Coturnix japonica: one gene and its partners. The main gene of each other region encodes a partner of the protein of the gene in region 3 in a complex. Links are inferred from orthologs where the notes say so. Each region holds a gene or a part of one and is shown on either strand. Other genes may lie near its edges. The genes, in order: ERCC3, POLR2L and GTF2A1.

What was found.
Region 1: GTF2A1 (region 3) and ERCC3 share a complex: the UniProt entries of both Homo sapiens proteins name them as parts of the TBP-based Pol II pre-initiation complex. The link is inferred for Coturnix japonica from reciprocal best matches to the Homo sapiens genes GTF2A1 and ERCC3.
Region 2: GTF2A1 (region 3) and POLR2L share a complex: the UniProt entries of both Homo sapiens proteins name them as parts of the TBP-based Pol II pre-initiation complex. The link is inferred for Coturnix japonica from reciprocal best matches to the Homo sapiens genes GTF2A1 and POLR2L.

Annotation. Positions count from the first base shown.
Region 1 is NC_029522.1:23,165,883-23,174,030, forward strand, and holds part of ERCC3 (general transcription and DNA repair factor IIH helicase subunit XPB), read right to left. Parts: coding exon 8,082-8,148; intron 7,965-8,081; coding exon 7,728-7,964; intron 7,511-7,727; coding exon 7,461-7,510; intron 6,658-7,460; coding exon 6,522-6,657; intron 6,331-6,521; coding exon 6,166-6,330; intron 5,157-6,165; coding exon 4,952-5,156; intron 4,150-4,951; coding exon 3,835-4,149; intron 3,487-3,834; exon of another isoform or gene 3,030-3,486; coding exon 2,845-3,029; exon of another isoform or gene 2,711-2,844; coding exon 2,508-2,710; exon of another isoform or gene 1,429-2,507; intron 838-1,428; coding exon 741-837; intron 499-740; coding exon 381-498; intron 1-380. UniProt on the Homo sapiens protein: ATP-dependent 3'-5' DNA helicase/translocase. Binds dsDNA rather than ssDNA, unzipping it in a translocase rather than classical helicase activity. Component of the general transcription and DNA repair factor IIH (TFIIH) core complex.
Region 2 is NC_029520.1:8,949,155-8,956,296, forward strand, and holds POLR2L (DNA-directed RNA polymerases I, II, and III subunit RPABC5), read right to left. Parts: upstream 3,744-7,142; 5' UTR 3,661-3,743; coding exon 3,566-3,660; intron 3,423-3,565; coding exon 3,314-3,422; 3' UTR 3,130-3,313; downstream 1-3,129. UniProt on the Homo sapiens protein: DNA-dependent RNA polymerase catalyzes the transcription of DNA into RNA using the four ribonucleoside triphosphates as substrates.
Region 3 is NC_029520.1:37,062,073-37,070,220, forward strand, and holds part of GTF2A1 (transcription initiation factor IIA subunit 1), read right to left. Parts: intron 8,000-8,148; coding exon 7,935-7,999; intron 5,864-7,934; coding exon 5,788-5,863; intron 3,073-5,787; coding exon 2,939-3,072; intron 2,117-2,938; coding exon 1,796-2,116; intron 273-1,795; coding exon 183-272; intron 1-182. UniProt on the Homo sapiens protein: TFIIA is a component of the transcription machinery of RNA polymerase II and plays an important role in transcriptional activation. TFIIA in a complex with TBP mediates transcriptional activity.

The DNA of each region.
Region 1 (8,148 bases), on a different chromosome or scaffold from region 3:
AAATAAAAGGAACAGCAAATGCTTCTACTAATGCTATGCTGATTTGATACAAGCTGATCGTAAGTTCTTAAAATAGAAAGGGGCGAAAAATGCTACTTTGGCATAGTAAACCACTGTAACAGGAGGGGAAATAAAATGCAAGGAAGTATTTAAGAAAGAATTCAGTTCTGGTTAAAAAAAAGTGGAGAAAGGAAATAAGAGATGCTGCAAGTGAAAGATAAAATGGCATCCATATTACAACAGAAAAGGAAACCCAACAACTACCTTCTTACTCATGATACTGAAGTTTATTCAGTCTATGTTTCAGTATCCTAAACAGTTGAGTAATTATCTGAATGCCGTACTGTATTCCAAAGAGCAGAGCCCAACAACTACCTCACCTTTTTTGGCTCTCAGTACTCGCCCCAGTCTTTGAGCCTCCTGTCTTCGAGATCCGCCGTGGGATGAAATCTGGATCAGAACATTGGCTTCAGGTAGATCAAAGGATGTGTCACCCACCTGCAAAACAGAAGCGGTGTCTGAGCAGCATCTTATTTCCATGCATCACCAACAACAGCTTTGTACAAAGGACACCTTTATTAGTTGCAATAATAGAATCACAGTATTATCAAGGTTGGAAAAGACCTAGAAGATCATCTAGTCCAAATAAATAAAACGTCAAATGCCCAATGTGTGTGTATAGCATGTTCTTAGATAAGGTTCACTCTGAAGATGAGTACAATAACACACCGCATCCTCACCTTTGAAATGAAAATGGTGTTGATTTTTGGATTGTGCTTGAAGTTTTGTAGAATTTGCATTCTTTCTCCTTGTGCGGTAGGACCATATATGTATGGTCTGGAAAAAACAGAACACATGCAAATTAAACCTATTTACAGTGTCTCATTTATTAACAGGTACTAAGATATCATGGCAGGGAGCTCATTACGTGGTGATTTAAACATATTAATAGCTCGAATGGAAAAAACAGCATGAGCTACGTGACTCTGGATGGCAGACTCAGGACAGAGTAAAAACTGGCTTAATAAATTTGAGTTCTGAGGCCTCAAAAGTTAAAGTCAAAATAATTCCTGTCACGTGCATGTTCCGTTCCCTGCTAGTACCAAGGGAACGGGATGGGGTAGAGTAGGAGCTGGTGCAGCAGCAGTCACCAGGCAATGCCAGTTTCCCTGCACTGGTGAGCCCACCAGCCCCACATGTTTGAACCAGGCAGTGGAACCAACGACCAGCACAGCCAGGCAGACACAACCTGGGCTACTACTGCAGCATCCAACAACCAATAATTCCTGCCACACCCAAACTAGCAGTTCCCTTTTTATGCCCAAAGCCAACTTTGAGCATGTCCATGGCAAACTACGGTTAGAGAGCTTTTCTGTTATGATGTTCTCTTTCATCTAGCACTGCAACTCCTCTTTCTATCTCTTACAGCTGTATAAACTGGAGATCCATACAAATCACGTGGGAAGGAGAACCGAGTCAAGAATGTGAAAGGCAAGCACCTAATATTTCTTTAGACAGTTCTCCTGCTGTACTTCTGCAGCATTTCCCATACTTACAAACCGTTAGGTTACTTTGCGAGCACCCTTTCAGGCGTGTGCCTTTATTAAAGGCTCTTGCTCTGCGGAGCACTGCACACTGCGAGCAACATTCCAGAGGCATCATTACAGCTAATCTCTGTCCAGACAGATTTAAAACATGATGAAAGAGACCACGGGTGTTGGAATTCATCCAGAACTACCAGCTCTGCTGTGAGATGCACACTAAGCCACAACAACGTGGCCATTAAACTAGAGTGAAAAGCAATCACTAATTTCGGAAAGCGCAGAAAGATTTGTTAGCAGTTGTGCTGAGTACTGTCAAAATTCAATAGATGTGAAATCATACAGTCAAAATGCCCCGCAGCTTCCAGTAATCAACACATCATTTGAGCTTGTCGCAGAAAGCACAAGGCCAGCTCCTATGCTTATTTTCCCCAAGGAGCTGCTGTATGACTTGATCCTCACAAACATTCTCCCTGGTCATCCCTTCCCAAGCCACTCAAACACATTGAGGTTTAACCCCTCAGTCAACTCTAGTCACAATAATTGTATAGACATTTAGGGCAGACGATCCTGAAAGATCCCCAGTGCACATCTGAAAAGATTCCTGACAGAGAGACAGGAGAAGCTACAGTCCATTATAGAAATAGCTCTGAAAAGATTTCTAAAGGCTCCCTAGTTTTGCCAAGTGGCTTTCAGTAATAAATCAATAAATGGAGAAAGTCAGATGAAAACCCCTCTGAGCCAAGTGCTAAACAGAGATTCTTTTCAAACAGTTCTACAGTGGAATTAATGTTCCAGTGCCTATAAAATCCATTCAAAGAGTAGTTTCCTGAGCTCCTCTCATGTGAGAATTGTAGTTGAAGTATTACAACTAATGTCTAGAGGTTACTAAGATCTGTAAGATCACAAGTTGATTTTCCAGGAAGGAGGAAAGCAACAGCATCATCGTTAGCACTGAACACTTACTTCCCAAGTCTGATGGCGTACTCCTTCAGTGCAAACACATTGTCAGCAAAAACAATGATTTTATCATTCCGTCTCTCGTGAAACTTAATCAGGAACTGGCAAGCTCGAAACTTATTTGGGTTCATGGTGTACAGCAGTATCCGCTTCTTTGTTTTGATGGCTACGTATTCTCTGTAAAATTCAGGTGACATTGGGCACCAAACCTAGAATTAGACAATTTACACAGAGTAAATCCCAGTTATCCACTTAATTCCACTGGAAATTAAATCTATATTAAAAAATTAAAGCTATAAGCATGTTAAATATACACCAGTAGTACTGAAAAGCAGAACATCACCTCAGCACATTGGACTTTAGCAATGTAGCCACTGTTCTGCAGCTCCATCCAGTTGGCCTCATAGAGCTTTGGTCCAATCAGGAAGTTCAGATCAACAATTTTATCATCTTCTCTGACCAGGGTGGCAGTCAGTCCCAGCTTACAATGAGCTTGTACAATAGTGAGCACACGTCTGAACATTTTTGCTGAGAAACACAAGACACACTTTCTGTTTACTTTCCCGAACGGGTTTAGAATACAAGCACTGCAATCTTACAAGTTAAAAAAATCAATCATTAACTCCTAAACACAAAGCAAGAATGGTCTTAGGAATTATCACCCCATTTTACATACACTTCTAACAGTATTCTGTGTCACGGCAAAACTTCACATTGATGTCAGCTTTAGTTTGCACCTTTAATGTACTCTAAAAAACCCTTTTGCATTTGTATTACTTCCTGCTTCCCAAGAAGAAAAGTAATAGAGAGAGACTTATCTTAGCCATGTTGTATTTCATCAAAAGATGCTAACACAAGAACTCTTGGCTGACTTTGCCACATTCAGGACTAATATTAATTTCTAACATTTATCTTTTGTATTGTTTCAAATCCTGTTACCTTAATTTTTATGAAATGAATAAAAGTGAAAGAGCTGCACCAGCAACGTGCTGCTTGGTTCATCAAAGTCTACCCCAGAAATCCATCATTTCCAGTAGAGACCAAATTATATTCAAGTTAAAACATGACAGCAGCAAAGAAGAGCTGGGTGGTACACACTGCCAGGATAACTGCACAGACACTCTAATAGCACATCACTGCTTCCAATAGTCTGCAACTACAACAGCTATTTCTGGACAGTTACTACTACTGTTATTCAAATTTAATGGAATAGAAATAGACAGTAACACCTAAGCCTACAGTGCAATTGCATCTCAAAACCAAAGATGGCATATTAACTCCTGTACGTACATACAGTACATACAGCATGAGGGTCTGCACACCATTTACTTACCAGGAATAGTGTGCACTTCATCGAGTATCATAAGGCCCCACTCTCGACTTTTAAGCCACTCCATTACTCTCTCTGCTTCCCAGGATCTTTTAGTCGTGTGTCCCAACATGGAATACGTGCTGATAGCAATAGAGCAGTCAATGGGCTTATCTTTGGCATCAGAGGTGAACCGACAGATCTGACTGTCATCAATGGTGGACCACATCTTGAACTGTGCTTTCCACTGCTCTACAGACACTGCAGAGTTACCAAGGACCAGACACCTCTTGCGGACAGTGCACGCTGCTGTCACTCCAACTAGAGACTTGCCAGCACCTGTGGAAGGAGCAATATTCATTATGGGTATCATTGGAATAGAAAGAAAAAGAGTGAAGGACAACAGTTGTGTGAGGGAATATGAAATCACACTGGATTGCCCACCACGTGCTGTTGTCTTAAGAAAATCATCACAAACGCTGCTTTTGCCAGTTTGAAGCAATCAGACTGTTTTCTTCATTTCAAATATGGGATAAATTCCAGGTGGCTACAGAACGCTTCTACTAGAGGCCATCCCCCATACAGCCCCTGCAAGCAGTGTACGTTATACCACGTAGCAAGTCCTTATGTCTTCCCATTCCTGCTTCAAATTTCCTCCATCATCCCTTACACACTCTTTGAGGCCTTCCTCGTATCTCCTGCACTGCCACAAGCAGTCTCCCATTCTCTCCCTCCTTAAATGCTTCCCATGGGTTGTCTCAACCTTCTTGCTTGCACCCCCAGTTCCTCCACCTCCCCGTTTTCACCCAAGGATGAAATGATTCCAGCGCCAGCAGTTCTACATCTCACTGGAAGATCAGCAGAGCTGACTAGGAGGGCACAAAGAAAAACGTTAATGGTGATCTATCACAGCTATTAAGGAACTCTTCAGCCACTAGAGAAACAAAACACCCTCACCGCTCTCATCACCCACTTGCTAAAAGCCATCAGGATTTGGCATACTTGTACCCAGATCAGTCCCTATTACAGTTCGAAGCCCAAGCAGCTGTCAGATTTAAAAGTTACATTATTGCAGGCAAGTAAAGAACAAAATCTCTAAGGAAGAAAACCCTTAAAAAAAATAATCAATGCAGTAATTTACCACATGGCAAGACAATAACACCAGATCTGGCTCGTCCATTTCCAAACATCTTCCTCAGGCTTTTCTCTTGATAGGGTCTGAGGACAGCTGTAGGTTTCAGATCTATATTAATATCAGGATTCACAGAATCATTTCTGAAATCATATTCTGCCAGCAAGGGGTACTCCAAATGGATACAACGCTTCTGAAGTTCTTCAATCATCTCCTGAGGAGGAGACAAAGCTTCAGCTGCTAAATTCTCCACATCTGAATTATTACATCATTTAACAATTACTGATTACGCAGTGCTACATGAAGTCACGTTTAATTTCACGCTCATTAAGTCTGCATGAGTTGAAGTTGGTTTCAATAACTTTGTGACGACCCACCTGCTCCAACATTTGAAACAACAGCCCGTACTACAGAGAGCTATTTTGACAGATGGAAGTGTGAGACACATTCATCTGAAATGTGTTTCTCATCTGGCAGTGACTGAACTACACTCTGAAGCCCTGCAACAAAAAAAAGCTCAATAACAAACACAATAAGTCCCGTGTGCTGCATGGAAAGCCCTGCCAAAGCAGCACACCTGTAATAGGGAAGAACTTCATACCCTGACAGTGCAGTTACTCCACAATGACAGGTTGATTCAGTCACCAGAAGTTGTTTCCAGTTCTCAAGTACTTCTTTGGTTATGATAAAAGTTCTCCTTTCATTACTTCTGTCTTCCCCAGAAAAGCATCATTAGAATCACCATGCAGCAACAAGACAGGCCTTACAAAATTCCTCTGAGGGCCAAGTCAGGACTGTGCTCTGACCTCCGGCTTCTCAAGCTGGGAAAACAGAGCCACCAAGAGCTTCCTCTGTAAGTATCAATTGTGAGGAAGAAAAGCTCTGAAACTAACAGCAGATTTACTCTCCACTGAATCCTCATCAGCCCTGCACAAAGCAGCATCAAGCCGAGCACAAACAGAACCTCCCTGAGCTTCTGGAACCTCTCTAACTTGTGAATGACTGCACTCTGTGGGCAGAGAAAAGAACGTTCTGCAATCTGCTCACTCTGTACCGGGAAGGAATATCCCAAGACTTTGGAAGGCAAAAGGAAAGAAACATTATTGGCTTCCAGTGACCTCTTACGTTAAACAAGGAACCACTAGATATTATCTCTTACACCTATTAGAGTCCAGGGCACATCCCCTAAAGCTACACACGCTAAGAAACAAAGGTGTTCATGCCTGCTTGACTTCAAAAGACACTGTCTGTGTTTCTTCCTCCTCCTCCTCATCTTTGTCCATCTGCTCATAAAACTCATATAAATCAGCTGGGACATCCGGCTTGTTTTGAACATCTGCTTCTTGTGACGTGGATGGACCAAAGCCACTTTCACTGGACTTGGAAATCTGAAAAAGACAGAAAAGACCAAAAGATTCGCTAGAGATGCTCCCCAGGACACTCATTGAAGTGGGGTTCATTAACAGGGCTGACAGGAATGAAAACAACTGCTGACATAACTAACGCACAATAATGATTCCAAGCTACCGAGCAGCTTATCTCATATGAATTCCATCCTTTTAAGACACGCCGCACGTACCGCTGATTTACTTGTGAATGTCTCTGTAATGAGCTCCGTTTCTTCACCTTCGGCATTTCTCAGGCGACAGTCTTTAATAACGTGGTCTTGCAGAAGCTGCTGGATGACATCAGGATGGGTACTTTCCACAAAATACCTACAAGAAAAGGACAAAAACTCCACATCTCTACGAACTAATTGATACAATAACTTACAGAAAAAAGCAGTACGTGCTTAAATCTACAGCCCAGAAGCACTCAAATGTAACAATCTTCCCTCCTTCAACTTAGAACCTTTCCCCCTTGTCCTTCCACTATCTACCCATGCAAAAAGTTGATTTATCTTCTGCTTATAAACTCCTTTTAAACACTGGAAGGCTGTAATGAGCTCTCCCCGCAGCCTTCTCTCCTCCTGACTAAAAAAGCCCAGCTCCTTCAGCCTGTCTTTGGAAGAGAGGTGCTCCAGGCTCCCCAGGGAGGTGCTTGAATCGCCATCCCTGGTTGTGTTTAAGAGCCGTCTAGATGTGGTACTTAGGGATATGATTTAGTGTAGGGTTTTTAGAGTTAGGGTACTGGTTAGGCTGCAGTTGGACTTGATGATCTTCAAGGTCTTTTCCAACCTAGGTAATTCTATGATGGATATCTTTGTTGCCCTGCTCTGGACCCTCTTCAAAAGCTTGATGTCATCCCTGTGTTGGGACTCCAGACCTGGATGTTATGCTTCAGATGGAGCCTTACAAGGACAATCGGCCCCCTCACCCCGCTGGTCACCCTTGATCCATGCAGCCCTTTCTCTTGCAGCCCTGGATATCACTGTCCTTCCAGGCAGCAAACACACGCTGCTGGCTCACGTTATGTTTTTCATCTGCCAGGACCCTGACGTTCTTCTCAGCAGGGCTACTCTCAAGGGTTCTTGGCAGATCTCTTCATTCACACCAACTATGCCAAAAGCAGCTTTTACCTGTTGCGTTTCAGCACCAGCTTCACCTTCCCATAGCTGACCGTACAGAGCTGCAAAAAGACAGCAGCAGTCATTAGGAATAGAACACACCAACATTTATGGAGCTACATACAGCAGAGAAAGGGAAAACGTAAGATAAAAGTCTCTGCTCTCTTATAACAGAATACAGTAAGGTGGTAAAACATTGAGCAAAAGAAAATGTATATAAAACAGCAGTAATGCAGATAGAGCAGAGCGTCAGATGGTGTTACATCAATGCAGACTGACCTTGATGAACTGGATGATCCCCTCTGGCACGCCGGTCTTGCTGAGTTTCTGCAGGTACTCGGTGATGTCGCTGGTCTGCAGGCCCACACTGACGGCAGCGTACAGGGAGTATGCGGTCAGCTTGTACTCGTGGATGTGGGTCGGTCTGCACACGGGCTCAGCAATGGCAACTAGAAAATCCTGGGCGTATTTGTAAACAGGAGAAAAGGCTTCCAGGAAGATATGGCCGTCAGGAGCCTACAGCGACACAACGAGACGCCAGATGAGGATTCTCCTACAAGGTTGTGCTGGGGGCTCCCGTGTTTAGGTGGGGACGTATCACTGTGTTGCGTTCCGCCCCCGCCCCGCACGTACCACCCAGAGCGGCCGCGAGGCGCTGTCAGCCTTGAGCGGCATCTGCAGCCGATAGTCCTTAGCGCCG
Region 2 (7,142 bases), about 28 Mb from region 3:
TGGAAAGCCTTGACCACAGCCTCTGGGGCTTGTTTTGAAGTCTGTTGTTAACTGCTAGTATCTTGCATCCCCCAAAGTATATGTGCTTTTAGCTCTTTGTCAGCTGCTCCACGCCTTTCGCTGATCGCTATTTGTTCAGCTCCTGAAGGCAGAAAATTATGAACCCTTTTTAATAAAATGCTTGCTTTGTATTTGGAAGGGATAAATTAAATACTTTTCTGCATGAGTTTTCTAACTTGGCTGTTACAAAACATGATATTTGACACGTCTTGTGGTGAGCAGATACATTAGGAAGGAAACTGTGGGGAGATTCAGGGGCTTCGTGTCTTTGGCTGTATGTGACAAGGTGTAGGTCACCAAAACTTGTGACCAACAATGGCAGAAAGGTGTGGAGTACAAATAAGAACGAGGCTCAAAAACTCAGTGTTCTCTGCATGACTTGGCTCTACATCTCCTATATATTTTTACATGAGAGTGTTAGAGAGAAATAAATGAGTGTTTGCTACTCCCATGGAAATACCATACTGTTTTCCAGCACTAGCCCGAAGCGCAACCGATTGCCCTGCAGCTCTCCCCAGGTGGCCAGAGCTGCTGAAGCCAAGGATAACTTGTTAACTTTATTTTTTTTCAACAGTCTTACATACTTGAGGCACAGGAAACTGAGTTCTGCAGCACAGTCTGGATGCTCTTTGGGTGTCCAAGTCCTGGGTACCTCCAACAGCTTTTCTTAGAAGAACATAATAAAACAAATTAATCCTGGACTCTAGGTGGTCAGAGGCACTGCATGCTATCAGGCCATTTGAAGTCCCACTGAAATTAATGAGAAGACTCCCACAGGCTTCAGTGGGCAACACATCAAACCATGTAGCACAGCAAAGCCAACATGCCTCTGGTCCCTGGTTTCCAAATCTCTCCATTGTGCTGTTCCTGTTGAAGAATTAAAAATGCTTTCTTGCTGGTGAGTGAAGCTGAATAAGAACTGGATCTGAAAACAAAACCACTATGTAAACAACAAAGCTAACATGCTGGAAATTAATTTGGAAATTAAAGCTGTGCTCATCATCTGGGAGGTCAAAGCCAGGAGGGAACAATGTTATTTTGGAGATGTTTCATCCGAGCATTGGCAGGAGTAAGAAAATCTTGCTGTCTAACTAAAGCTCATATTCTGCTCAGGGAAGGGGCTGAGTACGAGTGCTAGTTGGGTTCAGTATTGAAAGTAGAAAACACTTGGAATTGGGCTGCAGTTTTGGAGGCAAATAGACTGTGGTGGTTTCCTTCTCCCTTTCTGTGGAGGTTGCCTTCTCTTGTCTGGAACTATTAGCAGGAAAAGAGGCAGCTTGTGGTTTAGATCCTTGTGGTTTGTTACCAATTAACATAGACTTGCAGCTACATTGCAAGTTAGGCATCTCTATGGAAACTTACAGCTTTAGGGTTGTGCATTGACTGTAATGATGATTTTCAGGTCTAGTTTCTAAACAAGCAAAGGTGAAAGCTGAGATTTATAGAAATCCAATGAAAAAATCACTTATTTTTTAATCAGGATTTAAGTTCTACTTCTGCTCCTGACCATCTCAATGACAAAACTCCTGAGAAAACCTTTAATACAGACACGATGAAGCAGCTGCTCAGCCGCGTTACAGAAATGGCTTTTTGGCCAGTATTATGCTTAGAAAAGGTGCGATGCAGGCAGGTTGTTGTTTGCTGCTTGGAGGAATACTAATGCTTGCTGTGACTTAGTCCTGCTACTCGCTGCCGTTTGCTGCTCCTTGTGTAACAGCTGGTTAATACAGCGATAGCAGAGTGGGCGTTGTTGGCGCCCACAGCATCACTTTCTCTGTCTGAGAAACAGTAATATGAGCAACCAAGCTGGCTTTTCTTGTTCCTGAGAAACTCTGGATGAAGCCTGCTTTGTTTTTGCAAATTGCTTCTTCGTTATAATGTTTTAGAGTCACAGCTTTTCTTATCAATTAACTTAACCTTGTGCTGGTATCTGCTTTGCTTTCAGAGTAAGAAACAAAGCTCTGTTGGCTCTCTGATCCTTTGGTGCTGATGCCTGGCCACCTCAGTTGGAGGCAGCGGTCTGGGCTGCTGTGCTGTCTCAGTACCTGGCATTTGGAGCTTCCTGTGTGCAAGTTTACATGCATCTCCACATAATGCTCTGCTGTAACATGGAAAGGTCCTACAGGATTTTAGCTGGAAACAGTCATCTTATATTTCATAGTGTCCCTTTTTAAAGACAGCCAGAAAGAGTTGTTATTAAGTGAATTTTGTTGTGTAATATGGCAGTCACACAGAACAAAAGCTATCCCGCAAACTGAAGGGGATACTAGAGTTGCTTAATTCTCTTTGCATTAGGCTGAAGTATGTGGTTTTAGTGTCTTTGCAGAACTGCTGAATATGAGAAAACTTAGCCACTATCCCATTGTAATAAATGGAAAAGTTAGATCAAGTGTAGAGATTGGTAGGGTAGTAGCTATAGCCAGAGGCTGGCTGTCCTCTAACTGTTCTTTCTGAGACAATCTCTTCTTGAGGTTTGAGCAGAGAAGTCTGATCCAGCAAGCAGTGGAAAGGTGGGTTGTTTTGGCCAGGCAGTCCCAGGCTGCACATACATCCTATATGAAGCCAATGAAATGACTGACAAGTGGGAAGCTTGCACTCATACCAGCAACAGAGCAGTGCAGGTGTTTGGCAAGACTCTGATCCTGTTCACAGTTACATGCATTAATTCTCACATCCATTGCCTTCAGATGTATTTTACCTAAGTGAGGAGCACTGCGCCACCTGATTTACTGTTTTCTGTGATGGAGCTGCCAGTCTGCCCCAATTTTTAACAAGACACTATAGGCTGACTTCAGTGAAAAAATGAGCTCCGCTAGCACTGCAACCTACTAAGAGTAATGCCTCATTCATAGCAAACAAACATCCTCTGTGCTGTTTCTGGAGCCTGGAACTTTGCTCTCTTTCTAACCCCCCTTGATTGCCCTAGCTTCAAACACTGTATTTCTAACCTCAAAATGACCACTGTGAGGAAATAGTGAGATGGAAGTGTATGCTGAACTCTACCCAGCAACTCCAGGAAGGCCACAGGCAGAGGCTTCCTCTAGTTCAACATTTTACATAGACAAATGATTGTATTTCATAAAACACATTTATTTTTTACGGGCAAAAGCATCCTAAAGTTCACAAAAAGAAACCAATAACAACCTGTATGTAATTAAAGAGAAACATCTACATATGTAAGCTGTAGCTGTGAAGTGGATGTCGGCCTTCATTTATTTCCTTGGGAGAAGCTGGTGGCTGGGTCAATCAACTCTCATTTCTCCAGCGGTGCGTAATTCAACAGCTTCTCAATCAGATCCACGTGTGCCAGGAGCATCCTGCGGCAGCAGTAGCGCTTCAATCCGAGGGCATCCAGGGCATCTCTATTAACAAATAACAACACGATTAAAAGAAATAAATACAAAACGAGTCAGAACCGCTCGTAAGTGCTCCTAAGCAACGCAATGATTGCTCTGAGCTTAGTTTAAAGCAAGGTATTAGCGTGTGCTGTTAATATGACACCCACCCCTCGGTGTACTCCGCCTGCAGGAGCCCGAGATACGCCTCCCACTTGTTGCCCACGATCTTGCCGCACGTGAAGCATCGCACCGGGATGATCATGGTTCGCACAGCGCCGCTTCCTCCTGCAGCTGCCCGAGCGCAGCCCTACGGCCGCTCCCACTGCACCGGGGGGACACGGGCGGTGCGAGCCGTTCTTGCTCAGCCGTGAGGATGCAGAGCGGCGCTGGAGCTCCCCCGTTCCCGCACAGGACGGCGGATGGTAGCGGCCGCCCTACGGCTCCTTGCGCGGCTCAATAGTGTTTGCGAGCGGGGCGGGCTGCTGATCGCGTTTCGCGTGCGCGGCGCGTGGTGGCAGCCGGGGCCGGCGGAGCGCAGAGCGGAGACACCGGCGGGGCGGGCTGAGCCGAGCCGAGGAGGCGCCGTGCCCTTCCCTCCCTCCCTCCTTCCTTCCTTCCGCGCTCTCACTTGTTGCTTTACACCCGGACTTCTGCAGAAGGCACTTCTTCATCGCGTCCTGCTCGAGGTACCGCAGCCGCGCGGGGTGGAAGCGCAACTGGTGGCTGCAGCCCGGCGCCAACCAGCGGGGCACGGCAGCGCTGTGGGACGGGGCAGCACGTCGCACTCCCCTCCCTTTTCCTCCCTTTTCTTTCCCTTCCCGGTGCGCGCACTGGTAGCGCCAGGCGCGGTCCGTCTCGCGGCTGTGTTGGCGTCCCCAATTTGGGGCGGTTTGCTCCGTGTCCTCGCTCCCCTTTGGAAGGGGAAGGAGCCGGGCAGGGGCTGCGCTCCGTGAGCTGCGCTCGGCGCCGATTTGCGCGGCGTTGCCCGCTCATTTGGAGGAAGCCGGGCTGCGGAGCGCTGCCGTGGTCAGCGGGGTAAGCGAGGTTAGCGGTCCCGTGGCGGCGGCAGGTCAGTCGGGAGTTGCTGAACTCCGGGTCTGGGGGCTGTGGGGGGTGATGTGGGGGGGTTCAGGGCTGCCCGCTGTAGCGTTCCTCGGTCTGTCGGCGAGCCGCGCGCAGCGAAAGCAAACGGGGCATAAGCCGTCCTTGAGGCGCTATCCCGCTCCCCGGAGGGTGGAGGCGGCCGTGGCACCGCGAGCGTCGCGTTGCAGCTTTACTGGCTGCCCCCAGCCGGGGAAGTTGGGCTGCAGCGGGGGATGCGTCGTGAAGCCGCGTGCGATCCTCCCGTGTGAGCGTCGCGCGGAGTGCTGCGCTATGCGATGCTTGTAACTTGAGGGCGGCACGTTGCTGTTCGGGACAGACTGGGTTAAAGCGTCACCCCGAGCGCTGTCGGTCCTTAGTGCCCTCTTGCTTCACGGTTGTCCTTGGGCAGAGCGGGGATGCACCCAAAATACTGTATTTTGCTGCTGGAGCATCTGCGAGTTGATACGGCGCGCGGCGCAGAGCCATTACTGTCAGGCGTATAAAGTCTTAATGCACAGCTTATGTTAATACGCCTTTCGTGCCTGTGTTTTGGACCGCTGGGTTGCTGACCCTCCGCGCAGACCTAACTTGAACTGTAGAGGAGCAAATAGTTTCGTTTTAACCGGCGAGGTTGTTTGAAGGAGGTTTTGCAAACGTTTCCTAATGAAAAGACAGCGATTTTTGCAGCCCCGGGGAGTGATTGCACTCAGCTGTGTGCAAGCAGCACGGCTTGGCTTGGAGGGTGGAGAAACCTCCTGCAGATTGTTATCGTTATTGTTGTTTCAGGCCAGTGGGAGCCAAACTCTCTTTTCTTTTTCTCCTTTGCTTTCTTTTCTTTTGGGGGAGGGAAGTTGAGAATTTGGAGACGATGCTTTGATGTGTTTTCAGCACCAGGGCTCCAAAGCAATTTTCTTGTTGAACTGTGACGTGCAAGGCGTTTGTATTTGGAGACAGACATTTGCTGATGGGAGGGAGAAAGGATGGTGGTGGTGGGGTGGGGGGTTATTGTTGATGTAGGCTGGATTCGTGCAGCTGCCCGGAGGAAGTGCTCTTGTTTAGCTTTTAAAAACGAAAGCAGGTTTTAACTTTCCCACCCAGTTCTCACATGCAACTTTGCATCTCTCTTGAAGGAAACTTTCCTCTGCTGTTTTCACAGCGTTTGAATTTGCCTTTTCTGGACATCCTGCTTTGACTGCTGGAGATGATCTTAGTAATCTAATAGCTCTATTGTGGCTGCAGCTTGTTTGATCATAGAAGATGTGAGATGTTTGATCTGTGACCTGAAGAGATTTCTACACGCTGATGACGTTCTTTGCCTGACTTCATGTATGGTCTGCTCAGTCTGAGCACTTGCCAAACCACAGAAGTCTGTTGGAGGCAGGGGAGATGTGTGCATGTGGCTGTTAATACTCCCAGGCAGTGTTTTAGGGGCTGTAGTTCACCCTGGTTAGGGTGTCATTTTCTGCTTCCTTGTCAGGAGTGAGCTTCAATCATTGCTGTGCTACCTTCCAAGTCTTCTTTTCAGGTGGGCTGCCAGCTGTTGCAATTTGGTACTTAGTCAAGTTAAGACTCTAAGCATCTTTCTGAAGAGGGATATAAACTGGAAGAATTGCAGGCTTATGTCTCCTTAGGCATCCTTCTGAAGAAGGAAAGGAATTGCAGGAGTTGGTAATCCCTCACAGGTCTCTCTTACAGTGTTTGTAAGTTCTCATTCCACTCTTGATCTCCTGCTGCTTGGAGCAAGCAGCAATCCTCAGAGCTCTGCTTCTTTGGGCTTTCAGTAGTCAGGGAGCCCATAGGGGTGTTCCTCAGCTGTAGCAGAAGAGGCTTGTCTACAGCTGATTGAGTTGAAATGCTTGGAGAACTGTAGGCTGGTTTTCTGATGTGCTTCTGGAACAGCTTCTGCCCTGTGAGGCTTTGTTGTGAGGCGCTGCAGTTACATCCTGCTTCTTGGTTAATGCAGTGCAGACCTTCTTCCTGCAATGCGAAAACCTTTGAAAGCCACTAGTATTCAGTCCCACCATTGCTGTCGGGCTGAGGCTCAGTATTAACTTTCTTTTGTTCCTTTAGTGAACTTAAAGCTGTAAAACGCATCCGAGCACGATTGTTCCGCAGCACTCCTAGCAGTGAGTACTGAAACTCCAAACTTGTGACTAAGCGGCGTATCCTTCTTCCTTTTCTCTCATCCTCAAAATGTGACAGGAAAATATTACTGCTTGTTTTAAATAAAAAAGCAAACAACAGAAAAAAAATCCCCATTGAAACAGCCAAGTGCCCCGAGTGACCCAACTCATCTTAAAATACTCCTATGGTTCCAGCGACTTCCTGTTGCTCGTGTTGGCAGGTTGTGTCTTTCCTGACCTTGTCGCTGTGGTTGGGGCTGTAGGCAGAAGTTGTGGGATCTGCACATTTGTGTTGGTGTGGTGAGAAGCCGTTGGCTGGTAGCTGAGGTTGTTGTTGTGTTTCGTGGGTTGCTTTTGGTCAGGGTTAGGTGTGCGTTCTCTCTGGCCTGGAGACTTCACTGCTCTTCACCCGTGATCTGCATACAATATAGGTGATCCCCAGAACTGAACTCTTGGGTCTGTACGGGTCTGGTTTGCCAGATGCAGTTGTGTTCAAGGACAAAGGATTGCTTAAATCATAGACTTTTCAGAAGAAACT
Region 3 (8,148 bases):
ATATAAAATAATTCCAAGATGAACGTTCATACGCTGAAGTATTTTGGGGCAAACATACAGGAAAAAGAAGTAGTAATCATAGAGGAGACTGGAGATCATCACACAAGGATATTTCATCACTTAAAATTTATGACTTGAAGGAATAAGAGAACTTAGATTACTTGCATTGTTTTATATTTTACCTTATCGTACTGACACACAACAACATTTTCCGTATCAAACAGTTCTTGTCCTTCCTCATCACTCACATCATCTTCACTGTTAAGAGGCTCCTGAAAGAAACACATGAGAAAAGTTGCAATGTTTAGTAAAGTTATAGCTAATACTTAGATTATTCATGCCAGACAAGGCTACAGTCTATTGGCATGGTCCTACATAAGCATTTGAGGTGTCAACTATTCAGCTTTCCAGCAGAGGGCATACGAGTATTTCTTTTCTGCCTTCCATGATGCAGTCCTTAAGGAGATGTCTACCAATTTTAATGCCCAGTTTCAGAGTTCAGGACAGATTATGGGCACAGCAGTCTTTCATCATCATGTCACATGAAAACGTGACATACCAGAACCACTTTCATTCGTTTATTCTAGAAATTCTAGTGCTTGCAGTGTCTCTTCACAAAAATGTATCCTTATGCACCCTTTTTTTTTCCTAAAGCATCCAAGCAGCGCAAATAAGACACTATTCACATCTCTCTGTAGGTTCCATTAGAAGTAGAAACTCCAGGTCTTACTTATCTGTGTCTCATGTAGCACAAACAGAAACAGATCTCAACACAGGCAGGAAGTTCGTAGAGGAAGAAAAAAGATATTTTAAGATGATGCACAGATAGATAAAAATAACTTCTCCGGATAAAAGTATTTTCACTTTCCTTAAAAATTCCTTTCAGTTTTTTGTCTTTTTTCTACAAGTGGTCTTTCCTCCTCAGAAGTCTTCCAAGTTGTGTCATTATCTCTATTCTTTACTATTTCTTTAGATCTGCGCATGTCTCACAAGATTACAAAATGACACCACAAGGGTATTCACAAGGATCACTATTGAACTGCAAGCCTCATTTCTCCTTCCCTGCACGACCTTCCAACCTGTACTTAAGAGGATTGTCTTAAATCTCATACCTCTTCTAAGGTATATCTAAGAAGATATGCTTCTTATAGATCATTCTCACTGCTTTCCTCAAGCACCTGACCATTAGTGTTTGTCAATACAGAAGTCTGACACGCTACATTCCATGCAGTATGGTGAGAATGCTTCTACAAAAATTTGTCTTTTTTGTGCTTTTAAAAATGCTTTATAATCAAATTTAATTCTCAGGCCCCTTCTAGTATAACATAAGGCAATCTAACAGTGAGTAAAATGACAAACCACTACATCTATTTGTTCTCTCAGTGTTTGACACCCACCTTGTGTCATCCCTCCTACCACCTGGCTTTGGAAAGCACTCTGTCCCAAATGGAGCTGATTATTTCCATTTGCTTATGAAGGATTCATGATATCAGGGCTGACCATTCCTTACTACCAGAAATAATACTGCTGAAGTCTTTAAAAAGGCACTCATCGTAATTAACTTTTTTTTTTTTTGTTATCCCCTGCCACACCAGCTGCATTTCAAGGTGCTTTGATAATAACAGTTTCCACCACGTCAGTATGGGATATAAAGAAACTACAGTACACAGATAGCACTGACATATTCGAGATTATGGGAAGGTAACATTCTTGGAGAATTACAGTTTTCCTTTAAGTACTGTAGGGAAAAAATTAAAAATGAAATACAGGCATTCTGCAATGATGTTAATTTTACCTCTTCGACCTGGCCATCTTCACCTCCATCTTTTTCTTTGTCCTCCTCTTCATCATCATCATAGTCTTCTTCCTCATCTTCTTCTTCTTCAGATGATGTGTCTCCTGCTCCATCAACTTGGAGAACAAGTGGTGCTTGTGGTTGTGCCTGTTGTTGCTGTGGCTGCTGCTGACCAGCTGCAGGAATCTGTGCTTGAGCTGTTGTAGGGGCAGCCACTGTTGTAGGTATAACTTGAGTTTTATTTCCTGTAAACAGGATCTGCTGAGGCTGAATAATCACTCCTGTCTGCTGGGGAATCCCTCCAGGAATTGGAGCCAAAACCTGATGGAATAGTATAGTGCTTGGTAACACACCAGACTACCACAGCACTTACAGAAGACAATTAAGCATATCAATCTGACTCGGACTAATTAGAGAAAGAAGTTACTAATACTCCATCTACATCAGACAGGTAATTAAATCTTCAATAACAAAGCTTCTCTAATTACTTGGTGTTTTTCTGCTCTCAAATTCCAAGCACAGTAGAGTAGCGTTTAAACTCAAATAGGAGATTATTTTTAAAATTTCTTTACAGAATACTTTAACCTGAAATTTGCTACAGACTGTTATTCAGGTTTAAGCTGCAGAACTGTGACACAACAATAAATTCAATGCCTACACAACCTGGACGCACAGTTGAGCTTGTAACTGAAAAAAAATCCTGGCAAAACAACATACTGTATTCAGTAATGAAATGTCCAGGTTTGGTGCAGATTGTTTATATGCTTTGGGTTTTTGATTACTTGCTTGGGTTTTTTTAAAGGCATTTTCCTCTACATATGCTGCAACACAAAGTCATTTAACCGATCAATACTTTTGTGAAAGGATACTGACTAAAATTGTGCACATAATATAATTGTCATTGGACCCACACAACAGCAATTTTAAACCAATACTAGTCTGAATCTTACAAGAATAAAAACATTTGAAACAATATTCCAAAACATTTCATCCTTGAAAACATTCTTAACACAATCCTTTTCTAAATATACTACTTCTGTCTTTGTATACTGTTTAAATCTGACAATAAAAAAATGCAAGCCCATTTAATAACTACTCTCAGGTTTTTACTTTCAAGTGTACCTATTAATTTCTTTTCTTTACCTGCTGTATAACAGGTGCTTGTACGCCACCAGGCTGCATTTGTGGTATGACCTGCTGCTGTAGAACAACTGGCTGCTGTGGCTGAATGATATATTGAGCTCCATTTGCAGTTCTAACTACTTGGAGGATCTGGCCTGTAGTAAGATAAAAACCAAATTAATCAAAGAACAGATATCACCATTTAAAATTAGCTTAGTTTAGAAAGCTGTTTCCTGAAAGAACAACTGTAACAATTAAAGAGCACTGTATTCTGTTTTCATCCATGAAAAGATACCATGCCATAGCAGCTGTGCCAGAAAGGAACCATTTATATGGCTGTTTGCTATTTATCATTGTTAATTATGCAACCCAAGATTAAACCTTTAAAGCAAGACAGTATTTCGAACATTAATTCCTACTTATAAAACACGAGGTGTGTTCCTAAGATAAATTGTACAGGCAGAGTACAAATGAATCACAGAACTGTACAGGTTGGAAAGCACTTCTGGAGATCATCTAGTGCAACCCTCTCTGCTAAAGGAGGTTGCACAAGAAAGTGTCCAGGCAGGTTTTGAATATCTGCAGAGAAGGAGACTCCACAGCCTCTCTGGGCAGCTTGTTCCAGTGCTATGCCACCCTCAAATAAAACAATGATTTTCTCATATTCAGGTGGAACTGTATTCCCATTGATGTTCATCAACTCTTTTCTTTTGTTCAGCATTGCTGAAAAGAGTCTGGCATAATCCACTTCATTCCTACCCATTAGATACCTGTAAGAATCGATAAGATTCCCCTCTCAGTCTTCTCTTCTCCAGGCTGAACAAGTCCAGGTTACTCAGCCTTTCCTCATATGGGAGATGCTAAAGGCCCCTCATCATCTCTGTGGCTCTCTGCTGGACTCTCCACACAAGTTCCCCGTCTTTCTTGAACTGAAAAGCCCAAGGACTGAACACAATACTCTACATTTGGCTTCAACATGATGGAGCAGAGGGGGAAGAACACTCCCCCATGAGCAGCTGGCCACACTCTTTTTATTGCACCCCAAGATACTATCGATATCTGCTGGCTAATGGTCAACAATCTGCACCAGGACACCCAGATTCCTCTCAGCAGAGATAATTTCCAGATAGCCAGCCCCTTACCCTTTACTGGTATGTGTTGTTATTCCTCCCCAGGTGTGGGACTCTGCACTTGAACCTCCTAATATTCCTTTCCACCCAATTCCTCAGCCTGCCCAGGTTTCAGTGAATGGCAGCACAGCCTTCTGGTATGTAAGCCACTACTCCCAGCTTTGTATTATCAGCAAACCTGCTGAGGGTGCACTCTATCCCTTAATCCAGGTCTGACCTCTGGGAAACACTGCAAGCTACAGGGTTCCAAATAGACCCTATGTCAATGACAAGCCTCGGAGCTCTGCCAGTCAGCCAGTTCTCAATCCACCTCACTGGGCACCTGTCTGTCCCCCACTTCCAAAGCTTATCTAAGAGGATGTTACAAGAGAGAGCATTAAAAGCCTTGCTGAAGTCAAAGTACACAACATCCACATGAGTATATACAAATACAAGAAGCACAGGTAGCCACATCACTAAAGTTTTATCCAATGCTGTGGTATTTCTGAGGCCTAGCCAGATAGCATCTCCCTTGTGGGACTTCTGTCCCTTTGATAATCACATTGTAGGAAATCCCTCTGTATGTAACTGTCTATATGAATTTAATGTCTAGTTGCCTTTCTGAAGAGTCTGTCCAGTTTGTTCTTATATTATGTTTCTCCTTCCTTTTTCCACAATGCCTACATTCTGATGTCTATTTCTTTAATTATCCTATAGTTCTATTATTTGACACCTATTCTTCACAAAATACGTTGAAGGCTCATGTTTACAGCTGCCTTTACAGCTTGTTTCCACTCCGAGAAGGGGGAGCTAAGATATAATCCAATACACTCTTTATATTTCTATTCAAATAAAGGAGAAGAAATGAAATTAGACAACCCTCAACTTTACACATCTCCCTAAAGATTGATTTTATTTTCTGTTCTCCTTTCAGTGCAAACTAGAATGCTCTCTTTACTCTAACAGGTAAGTAAATCTGAAAGAAGGAAGAAAATACAGTTCTGCAGACTACCATACCCTGTTCTTAAAGAAAACATACTACAAATATTTGCAACTGAAAAAGAAAACAGTAAGCATAACATAAGAAACAATATAATAGTCTTCTTAAAGCACAGATGTTCTTCCTTAGAAATTAGAAGATCTTAAATTTCTAGAACAGATACACATTCCAATTTTGTTTCAACTGTGTATCCACTACACATTCAGATGCATACAGCGGGAAGGTTAAGTTCCAGATGATTCTGAGCAGACTAAGTGAACTATTCTGGCAAGAAAAGCAACTGATTCTAGGAAACAAACTTTCTCAGGTTTTCCTTTACCACCCCAAGCAACTCCACAGGTTTGAGGCAGACTGGCTGGAAGACTGCACGAAGAAATGAATCTGCGGGTGTTGGTCACACTTGGCTTAACATGACCCAGCAGTGTGCCCATATGGCCGAGAATGCCAATGGCGTATCAGAAATAGTGTTAGCAGCAGGAACAGGGAGGTGATTGCCCCTCTGTACTCAGCACTGGTGAGGCTGCACCTGAGTACTGTGTTCAGTTTTGGGCCAGTAGTGTCCGTTTTCATGAACATGTCTAAAAAGCAGGGAAGACCTGCAAAGAATCTGTTAGGTTTGCAAGACTGGTGAGCAACAGTCCAAGATCTAGTTTTCCCTGATTTTGATATATGAACAATATACGTCAGCAAGTAAAATCCACAATTTCTCTCTCCCAAGCAACCACAAAACCACCACATGACCTCAGTGTTAAGAGAGTTACCTGAATTTGTAAGTATCTGCTGAACAGGAGTAACACCAGTAGGGAGAGCCAACGTAGCTGCAGTAGCAGCAGCACTCTGAAATACAAGAAAAGCTTTTTAGGAAGTATTATTGCCACTGTTTCATGTTACAACATACTGCCTGAAACCATGTACCTCTCCCGACCTACTAATAAAATACTGCATGGCTTAGGAGGCAGTTTTACATTTTCAAAGCAGCTAAAGTCATGAGCCCACAAATTTGAAGATAAGGTACTTCAGCAGTGACTATGTTCACTTGTTTTCACAAGGAGCAGCGATCAGGTTTGCACTTTTCTTCATTCTACAATTAATCTACATTTCAAGTGCCAAATAACACAATTCTTTCAAGTGAATATACACACACAGCATACTGACTGCTCATAGAATTACTTATTTTTTTCTCTCAAGACAGTTGGTTAGAAGAGTCACAAGGACTCTCAGTGGGTAGTGATTCTATCTTACAGAAATTAAATTTTAATGCAATTCACATAGTTTCAAACACAAAAATCTGCATTAAGTCCTTGACTCATATAGGGAGACAGATTTCTCCAGAGGTTTTTCTACTTCACGTGTCTAACAGCAGTTATCTTTTGAAAATCCTCCCTTCCTCACTACAGAGGAACCATGAGAAATTACCCTCCGCAACTGAAAGGATTTAAACTTCATTACTGGGTAAAGTACATAACATCATGGTTATAAGAAATATAATCTCCCCTTACTGACTGATCCATATAGTAGTAATATCACTTCCAAAATAACAGAAAAACAAGCAAAACTCTAAAGTGGTTTTCTGCATTCATATATCCCAAAGGCAGATAGATAAATTCTCATTAGTTGCCGTTCTCCAAGACATTCGAGGTCAGATACGTTATTTAATACCAACCTAAAAGCTTATTAGAAACACATAAATATTCCAACTTAGTTCTATAAAAAAGTATTTATTGAATAGTAGTCTTCTGCAGTTTACAGTTCTTTCTTGTTTTGACAGCACCTGAGTTTTAAAATCCCCACAACCTCATTTTTGCAATATCCATCAACAAAACTTTGTTAAATGAGATGGGAAAAAATGTTTAATTGTTTTTCTGCAGAATTCACAAACTACACTGAAACAGTTGTAAAATACTTTACATTAGCATGAGACATTAGCATGCTCTCAGCTTCTGAATACATCTTTCTATTTGAGTAATGAAGTTCAGATTCTTTTCTATAACAAGGACAGCAGGTAATGGAGAACTAAGGTTATGAAAGTTACCAATGCCTTGACTAATCATAAAACATTGCTTCACATGGTTTTATCAGAAAAGTAGTTAAAATGTAATACATTCTGGTTTTAAATTGTTTAATTATTATTAATAATAATCATTATTATTAATTATTATTAATTATATTTATAATAATAATTAATAATATAATTATAATTATTCAAGAAACAAGTATCTATCTATCTATGCTTATATATATATATTATATATATATATATAATGATTAATATATATATATATATATTAATGAAATATGTATATATATTTCATTAAGCCAGGGCATTTAAAAAAACAAAAACAAAATTAACCTCTTGAGATAAAAACTAAGAGAAATGAATAAATGACCATACTGTTTTATATTCTCCTATAAATTAAAGAATCTAAATAAGACGAGCAGAAAAGGTGGATCTGAGTTGCTAAATAAACTCTCATTTGCTATAAGCTGAGACTTCGGAACAGCTGATGCTGTTCCCTGTATCTAACAAATACAATGTTTGTATCATTCAGTAGTGTTACATTAGCATGAGACAAGTACATAATGCAGATTTGCACCAAGAGTACTCCAATTTCTAATTTAAATAAAGTTTAGGCTTACCACACTTGAAATCATAATGATTAATGATAATCATAATGATAATCACCAAGTTTGGAAAAGACCCCCAAGATCACCCAGTCCAGTCCAGTGTTACTAAGTCCTTGGTTACTTCTAGATTGTCATTTCAGAAGCAGAACTCAGAAAGCAGGCAGACAGTTTTATCAACATGTCCTGCTTTTAAGCATCTGATGACCAGATTAGTTTTCACTATTCAGTCAAAACAACTTATACAATGACAGCATATAGATGTACAAGCCTCTGCTTTCCTTACCATGCCCGATGCATTCATGTGCGGTATCAGCTTGGAATCTGGCACAATAACCTGCTGCTGAGGTGCTATAAACAGGAAAAATACAGCAATTCATCAGTACTACAGCCTATCAAAAATAACATTCAAACCAAAATAACTTTGAAAAGACATCACACAAATACCAGGTGAGTTTCACAGCAAAAACAGCTACTGAGCAATCTCTGATCTTAAAAGT